Oryzias latipes: one gene and its partner. The protein of the gene in region 2 purifies or fractionates together with the protein of the main gene of each other region. This does not show direct contact. Links are inferred from orthologs where the notes say so. Each region holds a gene or a part of one and is shown on either strand. Other genes may lie near its edges.

Region 1 (7,437 bases), on a different chromosome or scaffold from region 2:
GTTTGTGAGGAAGTTGTTAATCCAGTTGCATGTGAGGGGTGGGAGGCCGAGAGTGAGCATGGGGGTGAAATGTTATACGTTCGCTTCCTCTCACTCCTTTTGAAACAAATAAACTTTTTATGACAAACTTCACATTTATTGGATTCAGTGTGTCATGTATTGTATCTTTACGGACATATAGGTCTACTTTTGATTAAAACTAATTATACTGGCATTGCTTACATTTGTATGCGGATGTATATAAACGCAGGTGTATTTGTTTTATTTAAAAAAATTTAATTTTAAAGTTAAGTTACAGTTTATCATTGTTTAATATATATGTAGGATTTTTTCTTTTAATTGTTTGAAATAATCCATAATAATCTTTTTTTTTTTAAACAGAAGTTGAGAACGAATATGAAGACTTGTCTCATGGCCAAAAGGCGATTGCGATTTATGACTATCAGGGAGGTATGTTGATTCACTTCAAGACATAAAGTGCTATGATCTGTTCACAAATGTGTTGTTACATGTCTGTTTCCACAGAGGCAGAAGATGAGATTTCCTTCAATCCAGATGACATTATCACTAACATAGAGATGATCGACGAAGGCTGGTGGAAGGGACAGTGTCACGGTCACTTCGGCTTGTTTCCCGCCTCTTACGTTCAGCTGATTTAAACTTTGTTTTTTTGCACACTCAAACGCTGACTCCTTGTACGGATATGAAGAAATCAGGCAACTATGTACCAATGCACCAAATCAATCCTCATAATGTATCCAACTAGAAATGAGTACATCTGTCCATCTATATATTGCAGTTCTCCTTTCACAATCTTTCTGTTAAGCAGATTTTTTCCAGTACAATTGTGCATCATGCCTTTCTTTTTTAACACTGATTTATCCCTAAAACATCTGTAATCCTATACTTCATTTTACCTATTGCGGGTTATTCTTAGAAGGTAGCCCCGACGATAAACGAGGGACCACTGTAACTCCAAAATCTGAAATGATCCAAATAAAGAAAACTGAGCACTTTCTACACAAGTTGTTTTATGGTATTTATTGTTTGCATTAATATTTGACACAATTTAGGAAGTAGACAAGCAGAAAATACTGTTCATCCTCTTATAGGAACCACTGTGAACGTAAATCATACTGTTTTTACATAGGAACACATTTCTCAAAAATAAAAAGGTTCCTATTGGAATATGGTGGAGCAACAGTTCTGACAGTCCACTAAAGAAGTCACAGCAGCAGAAAGTTTGTATCTGACACGGCAATTTAGTATCAAAAGTCTTTGAATCAGTTACTCCATTTCACCAGGCAATTCCCTTCTTCTTCTTGCCCTTTCCACTTTTCTTTGTCATGCGTTTATCTTTCAGTTTCTTGATCTGGCGTTGGTTCATCCACACAGGGTACCGTCCGTCTTCATCCAAAAGGGTTTTCTTGTTGCGCTTCTTATCTGTGTCCATCTTCAATCCTAAGGACAGAAATGCAGAGATGAGCTGTGTACAACAAAAACGAAAGCACTAAGGCATGCCAACTTTAAACACCCACATTTTTTTAATCTATTTTCAACGCGTTCCCAGTGGTCTTTTATTTATGATTGTCGTTTATAGCCAAAACATCAAAACTGCTTTCTAGTACATAGTTTCTGCAGAGTGGCAGTCGTTCATTAGAAAGTGACCTCCGAGTTGTAGGTGGAATAACTGGCCCCCTTTTCCCTCCCCATTGCTGAGAGCTCTCTGTTTACATACTCTACTGCTAGCTTACAGCCCCTCACACTCCCTTTGAGTCACATGCCAGCTCAGACGAGCAAAACAAAAATGTTCATGGATGTACTAGTCGTCTTTAAGTGGATGGAAACTTGTGGCCACACTTAAAGAACAGAAATCAATCCACTCACCTTCAGCCGCGTCCTCTGCCATGTCAACATCTGTCTGCTTCTTTATCTTATCAGGAGACACCACAGTAGCAATCTCCTCCAGGTCAGCCATGTCCACCTCTCCTTTTTTGTCATTACTCAGAGCTTGTTTAAGTCGAGCCAGCTCCTTTGGGGCATTTTTCTTCCTCTTCTCCGCTCGCATCTTACGCTTCCATTTGCTTCTGAGGCTTTTAGCCATGTTTACTAACTATTTCTAAAAGGAAAAAGAAAATACTTGGTAAATACAAACATTGTGGAGAACTTTAATTTTTTCTTGTAGCCTATCCTTGCATGATTTAATATAACATCTGAAACTTCATAAAACATAGAAGCTGGATTATGATGAGGTTAAAGAAAACAGGCACATCTAAATAAGTTATTGTCACAAAATGCTTTTAACTAGTTTAAAATCAAGATTTTGTTAAACGGTTAAAGTAGTTGTTTGTTAGCTTGCTGGATTGCTAACACGGTAAGCAGCTAATACTAGCTAACAGCTAAAACACAACGTTTTTTCTCTTCTAAATTACCAAAACGCATAACTTTTTTACGCATAAAAGGTAATACAGTTGTGAACTATATTCTGTACACTAAGGGCAAAATCAAAAAGACATCAAATTGTGAAAAATACCTGAAGTTTTTATAGTAGCGACATAAACACAGCACGTGTTTACAGGAATGGCTTGGAAAAAACGACTTGCACTAAGCTGCCATCTGATTGGCTCATTTTACCACTTTGAAGAAACTAGTGTCCGATTGGCCAATTTTTCAAACCCGGAAGTTCAACGAGATTTGTGGATTGTAAACAAACGGCGTGAGCGTCCATTTCCCTCACTAATCGTAGATTTACTTTAGTCAGGTCGAAGGATAAAAATAATTTGAAGGTTTTGCGGGGTTCACACATTTTTCTGGGAGTCATGAGCAGCTGCTCAAGCAGACAGACGCCTTGCAGCTTCGGTTCCGTTAGCAGTTCCCCTCCGCCGTCCTCTGCTGCACTACAGATGATAAACATGCTCGACTCTGCAGCAGAGCAGATGATGGTCTACAGAGACTTCCAGGCTGTTTTTGATACGTGCCAGAGAGGTCTGGAAAAGCTCGCTGGCACGGAGGACAACAGGTGACCCTCATTTAACGAGAAAATTAAGATGGAAAAAGTTACAACTGAAATTTATTTAAAGTAGTACACTTGAAGCTTATTTTTTAAGAATACTTGAGTATAAGTTTAGAAAGTATTCTATAGACCATGCAAGTGTTGTGTTGGAAGACTAAATTGGAACATTTTAAGTTTATAATATATAGATAGTTAAAAAAAAGTACATTTAAAGTATACTGCCTCGCCTTTAATTATATAGACTTAGTATACTTGTAGTACATTCAAATAGCCTACTCAATGGTAAGGGTTATTTTTGGTGCACTTTTTTATGTGTCACAAAGCAAAGGAAACGTTTAATTAAAACACAAGATGTAAGTATAATGGGTTCCTAAAGCTTTAAAGATTATGGGGAAAAAAGTTTTTCTCCTGATAAAGGTTTGGGGTCATTTGTTGGACATTTGACTCCTTCAGGGAAAGAGAAGCCAGTGGCGTGATTATGGGATTTAATATTTTCTGCTGCTCACGATGATTGTGATTGCACAGTTCTAGTTGTATTATAGTTCTTGGAGGCTCCTGCTGAGGATCCCCATGAAGAGAAGGCTGCAGTAGTTCAGTTTGGAGGAAACAAAGGTTTTATCCAGATTTTCTTCATTAGGCAGGCAGGATGAGATGTTTTTAAAGTCCCACTCTGATCATCGTTTGATTTAAACCACAAAAAACACAGTTTTCAACAGAACCTTACGGGGTATTTCTGATTTCTTTTTTTCTTTCCTTTTTTTTTGACTTTGCAGATGTACAGAGTTGAAGACTGGTTTCTGCATCTTGGGGATTCAGGCGCTGGCTGAGCTGAATCGCTGGCACGGAGTCCTCGCCTGGGTTCTGCAGCAGTATGAGCGCCAGGAAGACATACCAGCAAAAATAATGCAGATGTGGTAAGAAATAATAAGAAATACATTAGGTCAAGGAAAAAAGGAATTTAATCTCCTATGTAGTGTTTATAGCATCCTAAATTAGAGCTACATCATTTTTGTTGCATTGAAGCTGCATAGATACCATATATCACACAAAATTGTGCTTTTAATGTCTATTTTAACCTTTGTTTTGTAAAGTGTCTTTGGGTTTCTTCAAAGGCGCTTTAAATAAAATGGATTATTATTCTAATTATTAAATGCTAATAAAAGACAGAGATGGAAGAAAAAATATTTTTGATAAGAGACTAATTGCTCTCCATCCGTTCTTTTTCTGCAGCATACTTCTGTACTCCAAGGTGGGTGAAGCTGCTGAGATGCAGGAAGCAGCCAGTGTTTGGTTAAACTGTCCATCAAATTGCGGATCTGCTGGTTTCCGGACAGTTGCAGAGTTGTATCTTCTACACATACTTGTGCCTCTCGGACATTTTGAGGAAGCTCGGGAGTTTATTGCAGGTGAGGTTGGTGGCATCGCCTTTGCGGAGCGGAAACAGGCAGCACTAAATATTGTGGAAGAAAAAGCACAACAAAGTCGAGAAGCAGCTCTGCGCTCTGGGATCCATCCAGCTTCTGAGATTTCTGCGCATCCTAACTCAGTTAAAGGTTTGACATTTCAGTCATATCAATGTGCATTGTGCTCAATTTCTTGTGCAGAAATAATGACTAGATCTTCCTAATTGTGGTTTGCAGATGCTATAATCCATAAACTCGAAGCTATGCTCAGGTTTTTATACAGAAAAATCTTGACAGCCGGTTCTGGCTTATTCCCTCTCCGGAGACTTTTCCTGATAGCTGTTATCCTCTACATGCTCTTCAGCAGACTGGATCCAGGTTTGAGAAACTCTTCCTCCTCAGTATGTTACTGTTGACTTTTTTATACCCTGTTGATTGGAAATAAATGAATGCCTTTCTTGTTTTTATTTTTTTTTACAGCTGCGCCGTCCTCATTTATGTGGATTTCCAAACTTTGTCAGCTCTTTAAACAGATGTGGAGAACCATGTTTGGACCTTATTATCAGACTCTCAGTCAAAAAGAATAATTGTGGAAACATTTAGTTGAATTGATCTAATTTGATTGTGTTTAATGGAAGGTCTTTACTTTAATTCTGTGTCTCTAACATTTGTTTAATTTCGTTTATAAATTAAAAATAATGATTTTATAGAAGTGCTTTACAAACGAGCAGTTATAGATTCTATTGCTTGATTATTAGTCAACAGCTTATTTAAAAGAGATCCATTGATCATTTAGTTAGAATCTTGAAGTAAAACCCAGGGAGGTGAACAGGAGGTAGACTGTATTTATGTTAAAATGTAGAATTTTGAAAAAACAATAGCTATAATATATTGCAGAGCACTGATTACCTTTTAGGTGTTATATTTTTAATAAAATCTTTATACCTCTAAAATTGTAGCCATAAATAAACTATTAACAATTATTTTCTTGTGTCCATTATTTTTAAGGACCCACTCCAATCATCTTTTGATCTATTTTCAAAGCCCCCCCCCCCCCCCCCCCCCCCCCCGTAATTATTTTTGCCATTTTTAGCCAAAGTAAAAAGGTGGTAGTAGTTCAAGCCTCTGAGTTGTTTGAAGGACTTTTTGGATGCAAGCCTACCCCCATTTCCCATCATCCATATGTTTACATGCTCTCCCACTAGCTAACAGCTCCTCACACCCAAGTGGTAAGGACACCTCCAACCTAACATTAATGGGCTCTGAGCCAGATACCAGCTTGGACAAGGAAAACGAAGACTTGCATGGATTATATTTGTCTGCAAGTGAATGCATCAGGCAGGGATCTTGTAGCCTGCCCATCATATTTTCAATGTTATACGATCTTTTTCAAACTGAATTTTGTTGTCAACTGCAGATTCACAATTTAATTAAAGAAATACTCAGAAATACAATTTTGAGCTTAATTTTCGTTATTTATACTCTGTTATCAGAAAAATGCATCAAGAACAAAAACTTCAAAAGCACCATTTTCATCAGAGTGGGTCCCTTAGGTGAAAATGACAGTGAAAGTGTGATGTTTTGATTTATAAAAGCAAATCCTGGGAGGATCAGAAAATTTCATAAAAAAATATTTATTTTGTAATGTTAAATTAAAAAAAGGCGTTCTTTAGTGAAGTCACGGGGCAATATTTTTTGCTGTTCCAACAGTTTTAAATGGAAATATACCTAAAGCAACAATATTAAGTGCTTAGAGATACGCAATGTTTAAAACGAGTTTTTTTTATAAATAAAGTTCGATTTTATCTGCGCATGTGCAGTAAATCCCATCTTTTTTTATTTTTTTTAACTTATATGTCTCTTAACAGGATGCAGAACACTTAACAGCTGATTTGTGGTTATAGACCTTCCTATAGGATATATGCCACGTTTTACAAATTTGCTTACTTTATAAATGGAGCTGTTAAGTTTCGTTTTACGCGCAGAGGCGGGTTAAACGAAAGCGATGCCGAGGATGATGATGTGATGAAGACTCAGCTGACAGTGCTTTGACTCCAGCAGAAACGTCAATATCACGGAAAAACTCGACAAGAAAGATTTATTCTACCAAAATAACCCGACGCCGGGTTAAACTACTCGACTTCGTTTAAAACGCAATGTCTTATGGGATTTGGAGGATTTTTCCAACGCTGTGGAACACTCAGCTCAGTAAGTTACATTTGTTGTCAACGAAGTTTTTCTTTTTCTTTTCATAAACAAAGTAGTTGAATTTTTATTTAGGATTAAACAAATAAGCAACTTTAAAAAATAAAATTATAATTTGCGCTCAAATTACACCAAAAAGGCTGATTTTACTACATTACTTTTTATAATATACATATATTGTTTTATATATGGTCTGAAGAAGTATTCAGTTAGTATACTTCCTACACTACATGTACATAGTGTATACATGCTATAATCACGTATACTTAATAAAATATACCTCAGGTATACTGCTTTTTAAATGAAACTAAAATAAAATAAAAAACAACCTGAAACTAATAAAAGAAAATCTGAAGAAAAGTAGAAATTTACTCATTAGGTTTTTTTGGGGACCTTTTTACTGCAATCACTAAACCTTCATCCTGTGTGATAAGAAATTCTTTTTTATATTATATTTTATAACATTTTTTATAAACTATCATGTTTAATTTTTGCTGTTCCATTTTTTAAGGAATGAGAGGCCTTGCCAACTACCATTTGTCCTGTTGTGTAAACACTTTGCTGCAGACCTTCTCTGCAACCTGGGAACTACTAGAACTTCTAGAAAGGTAAGTAAAGTAGTTACCATCCATGTGAAATACTAATACCTCAAGCATTGTTTGAAAAATGAAGGTTTTACATCTCATAAGACGTTTCGGTTCCCACGTATTGGTTTGTGGGACTGTTTGACCTCATAAAACCTGCTCAAATATTTGAAAAATGCAGTGGTGTCCACCTGGAAACAAGTCTTTGTTTCTTAGGTGCTAAAAAAACAAA
Region 2 (7,490 bases):
GCTACATCTGTCCTACTATTGGAAAAGTGTCTGCAATTTATCAAACCTTCTCAGTCTTCAGGATATTTGACAAGGACAATGATGGATTTGTCACTGTGGAAGAATGGATCCAGGGACTGTCTGTTCATTTTTGGGGCACTCTGGATGAACAGAAGAAATGCAAGTTCCCCACAGCATGTTCCTTCCTGCTTCTTAAGCACTACTTCTCACACAAATGAGGGAATGCACACATATTTAGCCCATAAGGCCTGTCTTTTCTCCCCCCCTGCAGACTGCTTTCATATGTATGACTTGAAAGGCAGCGGATTTATCACGAGAGACGACATTTTTCTCTTGCTGAAGGACAGTTTCCATCTGCGGCTTGAAGAGGAAGGCAGAGAAGACGACTATCAAGATGAACAGGATGAGATCAACGAACTGATGGAAATTGTCCTCAAAAAAATGGTGAGATGTTGCCCTCCCATCTGCCTTTGTCACATTTGGATCGATGTTGATTGTAAGAATTTTGTCTTGATGTGTGCAGATTTATTTTGGTAACATGCCAACATTGCTTCCTGTGATTCCACAGGACCACGACAAAGACGGCAGGCTGTCTTTTCAAGATTTTGAGAAGTCTGTAAAAAAGGAGGAGCTACTCCTTGAAGCCTTTGGAAGCTGCCTGCCCAATTTCAGGGTAATCACAACCAAAAGTTGCTGAGCTTAAAAATATTGTAAGGATCTATTTAACTTAAATCTTTCTTTTTAGACAAAGAAGAAGTTTGAGCAGCAAGTACTGGAAAAGCAGCAAGATGAATAATAAAATATGAAGTGCAAGCGGTGTTCAACTTTGAGACTTTCATGAAAGAAAAAGCCAAAATGTTTTTCTTAAAGTACAATTTTATTTTAAGTTGAGCCTTTCAACGTTAGTTTTGATAAATATGGACAGTCGTCACTAAAACAGAATGGATCATATCCGACGGCGTGGCTTAACCTTCTTCTCCGCTGGTTTGAGGTCTGGGACCGATGTCACCTAGGAATGAATGAAAAGAATGAGACTGAAATGCACCAATATGGCATCATGTCAAGCTCTAATTCTCATTAAAAAAAAAATAAAAGACTACCTGCTTCATTGTGCCCCTGATCAGATTTACTGTTGTGTTTAGCGACTGATCATTCATGTCCAGCTTATGTGGTTCTGGTAGTTTTGGTCCAATCAAAGACGGTTCTCCAGAATCAGGCACTGGCTGTTTTGTGGCCTCCTCCATTTTGCGGCGTTTGTTCTTTTCCAAATGTGCAGTTCTTGGAACAAGCTTGACGGAAGAATCTGGGTTGGAGGCCAATTTTTTTTCGGAATTAGGGTCTTTACTGAAAGAGCTAAAGTTCTGGACTTTCTGCTGTTTTACGTCAGGAGGCACTGCGTCATGTAAAGTCCCCATTTGATCTTCTGTTGGTTCGTTCCCACGATAATCCTGATGAAAGTATTCCTGCGGGGGTAAAGGCAGTAGAGGAAATCCGGAACAATGGCTGAAGCTTGAAGTCTCGCCTGTTTTGTCACTATTGAAGATTGGATTATTTGTAGCAAAAACTCTGCTTGATGTGGGAACGCTTTCTGAAGACGTAGATTCCATGTGTACCGCATCCGCTACTCTTTCTTTTGCTGTATAAACATGAAACAGATAAATGACACTCATCAAATTCTTTATCTATACTTTAAACTTACAAAACAACAAAAAACATTTGATTTCAGATAAAAATACACAAAAAAAATTTTTTAATCACAGTTTTTTTTCATTGAACTTTTAAAAAACAATTACCTAAGAAAAAAAAGATTCAGTGCTTTTCAACACCGTATATCGTCAAAATGCGATAATACCTCTACTCCGAGCCACTTTCAGAACATAACTTCTCCTGTCCTGCAGCTTTAACTTGGTGTCTTCCACAGACTCGTACTCCGGGACGTAACACACATGCAGCACGCCGCCATAGAAACTCTTCTCATCCATGTTACGTTTCGCCGCTCTGGAACATCAAATATCAACCTGAATGACATATTTTTCAGCATTTCTGGTTTAGGGCAGTACAGTTAAGGTGCCCGCCATACCTAGCACTTGTCAGTTTTTGAAACTTGACCAGGTAGACTTCTGTGAACTCCTCAGCAGGATACTCGTCCAGCGGTCTGTATTCCTCCACTGTTCCATAAAGAGCACACAACTGGATCAGCTCCTCCATCACTCCAATAGCGGGGACTCCCTGGATCATCACATAACGGGACTCTAAATTTATTGTGTAGACCTGGCAGATACAAAGGCATGGTTATTAGTATATGTGAGGCTGTTGACGTGACCAATAAAAATCAATTAACTTAAAGACATAATCATCAGATCTGATGTACTTTCCTGCAACTCAGAAATCCAGTCTACTGTATTAGAAATTTGATTTTTATGGTTTATTAATTACAATTTTTTCGAAATGACTCAAACTTTTTACCATGTCTTTTATTTAATTTTATTTATTTATTTTTGCCAAAACGACAGTTTTATTTGTTTTTTTAAGACCTGCCGTTGGTCTTTTATTTATCACTTGCTGTGTGACTACAATTTATACTTTTTTCTTCCAGTTAAAAAAAAAGATTTTAAAATTTTCTCTTACATTCTTAAATGTAAAAATAAAACCAACTTACACATAATTATTAGCTCGTCGCTTGCGTCAACACAGACCGTCTTTGCTACAAACATTAGAAACGTTTTTCTTACCTTGACTGCTTTAGCTCTCCTTCCATCTCTATATTTGGGTCTAGAAAAACATGCGTTGTGTTGTTCGTGATGTTTGTAGACTTCTGGGACCTTCCAACAACCAGGTTTACTGTTGACATTTGCCGCCATGTTTGCTGAAACGCGTTTCCGCTTTGGTGGCATTTCAAAACAAGAGTTCATTCCGTTGTGCAGAGCACTCAACGTGTAGTGTTGACGACGTGGCAGTCTTATTTTGAAATGATCGATTCCATCGACAATCGACTGTTTTGTCTGGATCAGTTCTCTCATTCATCGAAATGTTTGTTGCACTTTGGCCGTTAGCGCACCAGCATGTTAAGCACTTTAAATGCTAAAATAGCGATGTAAACGTCATGTTTAGCAACCAGGGAATTCAACCAGTATGTGTTGTTTTTAACAACACTAAAAACTGCTTTATTCAACTCTCTTCAAAGCTGATATCGCACCTTTCTCTGAATGAGGTAAAGTATTAGCTAATTACTTAACATCGCTTCAGTTTTGTTGCATAAAGTTTACTGAATAATGACTGCTTTTGTGTTTTACACATTGCTGGTTTGTTTCTCTGACATTACAAGGGGACCTTTGGTTGCATTTAAGGTTTTAGTTTTTCTTAATTAAAACTTATAACAAAAGCAGAGCATTTTTTTATTATCACGTGTACTTAATTAGTATTAGGAAGTAATGCAAGGCAACAAAAAATGAATTGTTGGTAAAAATAGAAATTGGGCATCAAATACTGTCCTCATTCAGGGGTCTTTAGTCTAAAGGAAACTGCATTGTTTTGATTTTTAACACATTAACTCCTAGAAATAGTTTAATTTAGAAAAGGTTGATTATTATAATAACTAATGTGATCATCTCAATATTTCTATATTTTGCTACCACACCTGTGGAATATTTTTGCAATTTTTTAATTTAATTCTTCTGCTGAGCATAAAATCTGAAATGTATGTAATGATACAAAATGTACAAGAATAAAAACTAATAAAGGTATCACAAGTATCTAACATTCATAAAGTTGGAATCATAATTTCGACATCCGCTTTAAGAGACCATTCTGTGTCTTATTTCATCGTCTCTCTTTGGCCGGTCCGTTTTAGAATCAGGCTTTGGAGCTGTCTTGGGACGGCGGGTCGACAGTGTTCCTTAGCTGGTGTCCCATCAGAGCCTCCTTAGGAGCAGACAGCCACAGAGTGGAGTTGTCTCGGCAGCTTGGAGAAAAGCTCGGTTTGACTGATGGAGAACAGGTAAAGACCTTGGTTTCTTCCTTTAGGTCATCAACTGGGACGAACACTGCCTGTGCAACAGTCTCTTAACATTGGTCTGACATTGAGTGGTTTTCACAGTGTTTTCTCAGACCATGCCATCAAGTCTCTTCGCTGAATCAGGTGTTTGTGGAGCCACTGTCATCTGATGACTGGGAGATTTTGGTGAGTGAAATATTGACTTTTGTGTAATTTGTCTAATTGCAGTTATACATTATCATGAAATCAATCTCCTGAGAACATAATCAACTTCTAAAACTCATTTCTAATTATCAAAATAAAAGTTAGTCATTTTAGCTTTCCCTTCTTTCTTTCTTTTTGCATTTTCAGTGCAGAACTGCTCAATCATGATGTTGCTTATTGGTTTGGGGAGCTTAAACAACATTTGTGGCTAAGCAGTTTCATTTTCTGTTTTGACATCTCCAGGAGCTTCACAGTTCTGCACTTGAAGAGCAACTGCTGAATCAGATCCGAGTGGTTTTCCTAGATGCCGTGTTTCCCGTCTGGGTGGACAGTCACACAGTCATCTACATAAAGATAGGTTTGTGCTGTTATCCAACTCAAAATGTTTGTCTGTTAGTCAAACAGTCAGTTATTTTAAAAAGTTACGTCTAACCATTTTTACTTGGTTTGTAAACGTGCTTTGGTTTGTTTTTTCCTCCTCACAGTTTCACTCTCACCACATGTGCGCTTTGGTCATCTTGAGCAATTCACAGAGCTTGTAGTGTCTCCAAAGATTGGTGCTGGAGTTGGCATCAAATCCAGCCAGAGTCAATGGTATCCTCCTCAGCAAAACCCGACGTTTTCCTCCTCTTCTCTGTCATCGGCAGAGAGTTCATTCCATGTCCCTCACAGTAACTCCCCAGGTGGCATTGCTAACATGAAAAACCTTCTCCGCACTTTAATAACGAGCAGGTATGACGCGGTCAAGGAGCTGCCGCCTGTACCTGACATCCCGGTTTTCTTCCCTGATGCCATCTACAGAGTGTGCAATTCACCTCCAGTCTCTCTTTGCACTATTAGCCACATTGCGATCGGTGTTGTTCACATATTTCCATGGAACTCCTCTTCAATTTCCAGCAAGTCCGCAGTAACATACGGCCTCCTTTCCAAAGTTCAGTCCCCTAAAGAAGCCAGGGAGAAAAACAAGCGGGCCTCAAAGAAGAACAGCGTTTCTAAAGAAGAGCAACTAACTGACAAAGGAGATGAAGGCATAAAGCAACAGGAACCGGTGGTTGTCAGGATGATATGCCACGGCACTGAGATGCTGACAAGCAAAGACAAATGTCACAGTAAAGGGGAGATTTACTGTGGGAAAGTATGGGTGAGTATGGAAATACTTTCATTCACTTACATCTTAGTCCTGAATTCTAAAGATACTTTTCGTATATTTGACAAAAATTGTGTTTCTTCAGATCCCACATCCTCTGATGAGCAAAATCAGCATCCGACCACACTCGGCTGTTCGAATTAAGCCTGTCAAATCCACCATCAAAGTAGCCATCAAACTAGGCCTGCAGCCTCTAAATGCCATGGTGAGAGTTGCAATCAGTGTACGATCGGATCTATTCAGAAAAACCTCGGATCCAAAATCCAATCTGTCAAACTGCATTTTTTTTATCTGTCAGCCTGAAGAGGATGATGAAGAGATCCAGTCAGTGTTTCTGGGTTGGCTACACACAAAGAGTCACGAACCTTTGGGCCGTCTGACTCCCCGCTCTGGTACCATCCTCCTGCATGGAAACGACGGTGATTTAATTTTTATCTTCATAAGATAAACAAGTGTCGTTGCATGAACTCTTCTGTGGAAGAGTATTTAAAAAAGTTCAGTTTAGGAGTTTTAAAAGTGTAAAAGCAGTCGCAACAAAAAACTAAATTAGAGGTATGTGAGAAATGAGGAAGAATTCTCTTGGATTTTAAATTTTCTTTTCTTATTTATAGCTAAGTTGGAGATGGCTTTAACTGTGCTAAAACCAGAGCTGCAGAGTGATCCTGAAGACCAGCTTTTTCTTCTGTCACCCACTGTTCTGCACAAGGAAGATATACAGGTACCGCCATGCACACACGCACTCTGCAATAATATAAAATGTTTCTTATTTTTCAGAATTCTCTAACAAAATGTGGAATTAAGGACACTGTGCATTTCCAGTTGTTTAAATTTTGTTTATAGACACTTTGTGTCTCTTTCAGGTAAACAGACAGCCAGCGACTGTGCCGGCTGTCAGCGCTGAAGCACCCGAGCCTGAGCTTCCGTCTCTTCTTAGTCTTGGGTAAACTTTTTTTTGAACTGTAGTAATTGTTCAAGCTAACATTTGTTCTTGCATTTGGCTCTTACTTTGGTTGTCCTTTCTCAGTGGGGTTGGTGAGCACGCTAGGGTTGGGTTTGAGTTCCTTTCCCACAGCTTTGTGGGTAACCCCCTCTCCAGAGAGCTCGGAAAAGCAGGATGGGGTCTGCAAGGAGGAGCGTTGCTTATTACTGGTGCAAAGGTATTATTTACATTTTTTTTTAGACATTTTAAGTGTTTATTCAGATTTATAGATGAACAAACATGATCAACTCACTGTAATCACAGGGAAGTGGAAAGAGCACTCTGTCCAGAGGCCTCTGCAGAAAAGCCAGAGAGGATCTGGACTCGCATGTAGAGGTGGTGGACTGCAAAAAGCTTCAAGGTCAAGGATTCTCCGAGCAGAACATGAGATAATCGGTGAAATGTTAGGAAGTTATGTGCATTTTCTTTTTCATCTTCCAGGCAAAAAGGCTGAGACCGTGAGACAGATTCTTCAGGATGTTTTTGAGCAGGCAGAGTGGAGGCAGCCTTCTGTCGTCCTGCTTGATGACTTGGATTATTTGGCCCGAGCCCCAACTACACCTGAGCAAGACAGCGGCCCCGAGGCGCTGCTGCAAGCGCACATTGCACAAAGTAAACCCAAAGACTGACGAAAGTGATTTGAAGTTTTGAAAAAATTTCCATATTTCATTGTGATGTCATTTTTGTGCTTGAAGCTTTGCGGGACATTGTGGACGAATTTGTGGTTCGCTCCAGCCTGGTGTGCCTGATTATCACCAGCACGAGCGAACACTCCCTCCACCCGTCTCTGACTGAAGTCCAGGGCTCTCACTTCATCCAAGGGTTTGTGAACATCCAGCCACCAGACCAGGTCAGTGTTCAAACCGAGCTTGCACTCACAAACTTCCGCATAACTAAAGTGGAGCGTATCAAACTTCCTGCTATTTTGTTGCAGATCCAGCGAGCTGAGATTCTGCAGCATCTCATCTTAAGAAAGCCCCTCTTTTCGGAAGAGGTGCCCAGCACTCTTGACTTGACGGCTGTTGCCAAGGAGACAGAGGGATACACAGCCCAAGATCTCTATGTTTTGCTGGAGCGTGCCACACATGCCAACACAACTCGAACAGGACGCCGTGACCGCGGTACCAAAAACTACAGCTGACTGCAGATTTCTAGCACTTAAACAA

The links. Proteins that work in one complex are often made in the same cells at the same time.
Region 1: the proteins of pex1 (region 2) and pex26 purify together in Homo sapiens (affinity purification with western blotting; 3 studies listed by BioGRID and IntAct, with this or other methods). This does not show direct contact. The link is inferred for Oryzias latipes from reciprocal best matches to the Homo sapiens genes PEX1 and PEX26.

What each region holds. Positions count from the first base shown.
Region 1 is NC_019881.2:17,755,611-17,763,047, reverse strand, and holds pex26 (peroxisome assembly protein 26), read left to right. Parts: upstream 1-2,683; 5' UTR 2,684-2,819; coding exon 2,820-3,019; intron 3,020-3,786; coding exon 3,787-3,927; intron 3,928-4,243; coding exon 4,244-4,566; intron 4,567-4,653; coding exon 4,654-4,794; intron 4,795-4,896; coding exon 4,897-5,003; 3' UTR 5,004-5,399; downstream 5,400-7,437. Other genes in the region: hematopoietic lineage cell-specific protein, read left to right, coding at 382-450, 526-659; llph (protein LLP homolog), read right to left, coding at 1,298-1,461, 1,888-2,104; ubl carboxyl-terminal hydrolase 18, read left to right, coding at 6,573-6,624, 7,133-7,229. UniProt on the Homo sapiens protein: Peroxisomal docking factor that anchors PEX1 and PEX6 to peroxisome membranes. PEX26 is therefore required for the formation of the PEX1-PEX6 AAA ATPase complex, a complex that mediates the extraction of the PEX5 receptor from peroxisomal membrane.
Region 2 is NC_019869.2:21,758,435-21,765,924, reverse strand, and holds the start of pex1 (peroxisome biogenesis factor 1), read left to right. Parts: upstream 1-3,009; 5' UTR 3,010-3,103; coding exon 3,104-3,211; intron 3,212-3,850; coding exon 3,851-3,997; intron 3,998-4,096; coding exon 4,097-4,180; intron 4,181-4,441; coding exon 4,442-4,556; intron 4,557-4,683; coding exon 4,684-5,339; intron 5,340-5,430; coding exon 5,431-5,550; intron 5,551-5,643; coding exon 5,644-5,764; intron 5,765-5,956; coding exon 5,957-6,063; intron 6,064-6,205; coding exon 6,206-6,285; intron 6,286-6,369; coding exon 6,370-6,502; intron 6,503-6,588; coding exon 6,589-6,685; intron 6,686-6,765; coding exon 6,766-6,936; intron 6,937-7,019; coding exon 7,020-7,174; intron 7,175-7,258; coding exon 7,259-7,445; intron 7,446-7,490. Other genes in the region: efcab1 (EF-hand calcium-binding domain-containing protein 1), read left to right, coding at 55-159, 272-444, 569-673, 746-796; rbm48 (RNA-binding protein 48), read right to left, coding at 947-1,009, 1,101-1,636, 1,853-1,998, 2,081-2,271, 2,733-2,894. UniProt on the Homo sapiens protein: Component of the PEX1-PEX6 AAA ATPase complex, a protein dislocase complex that mediates the ATP-dependent extraction of the PEX5 receptor from peroxisomal membranes, an essential step for PEX5 recycling.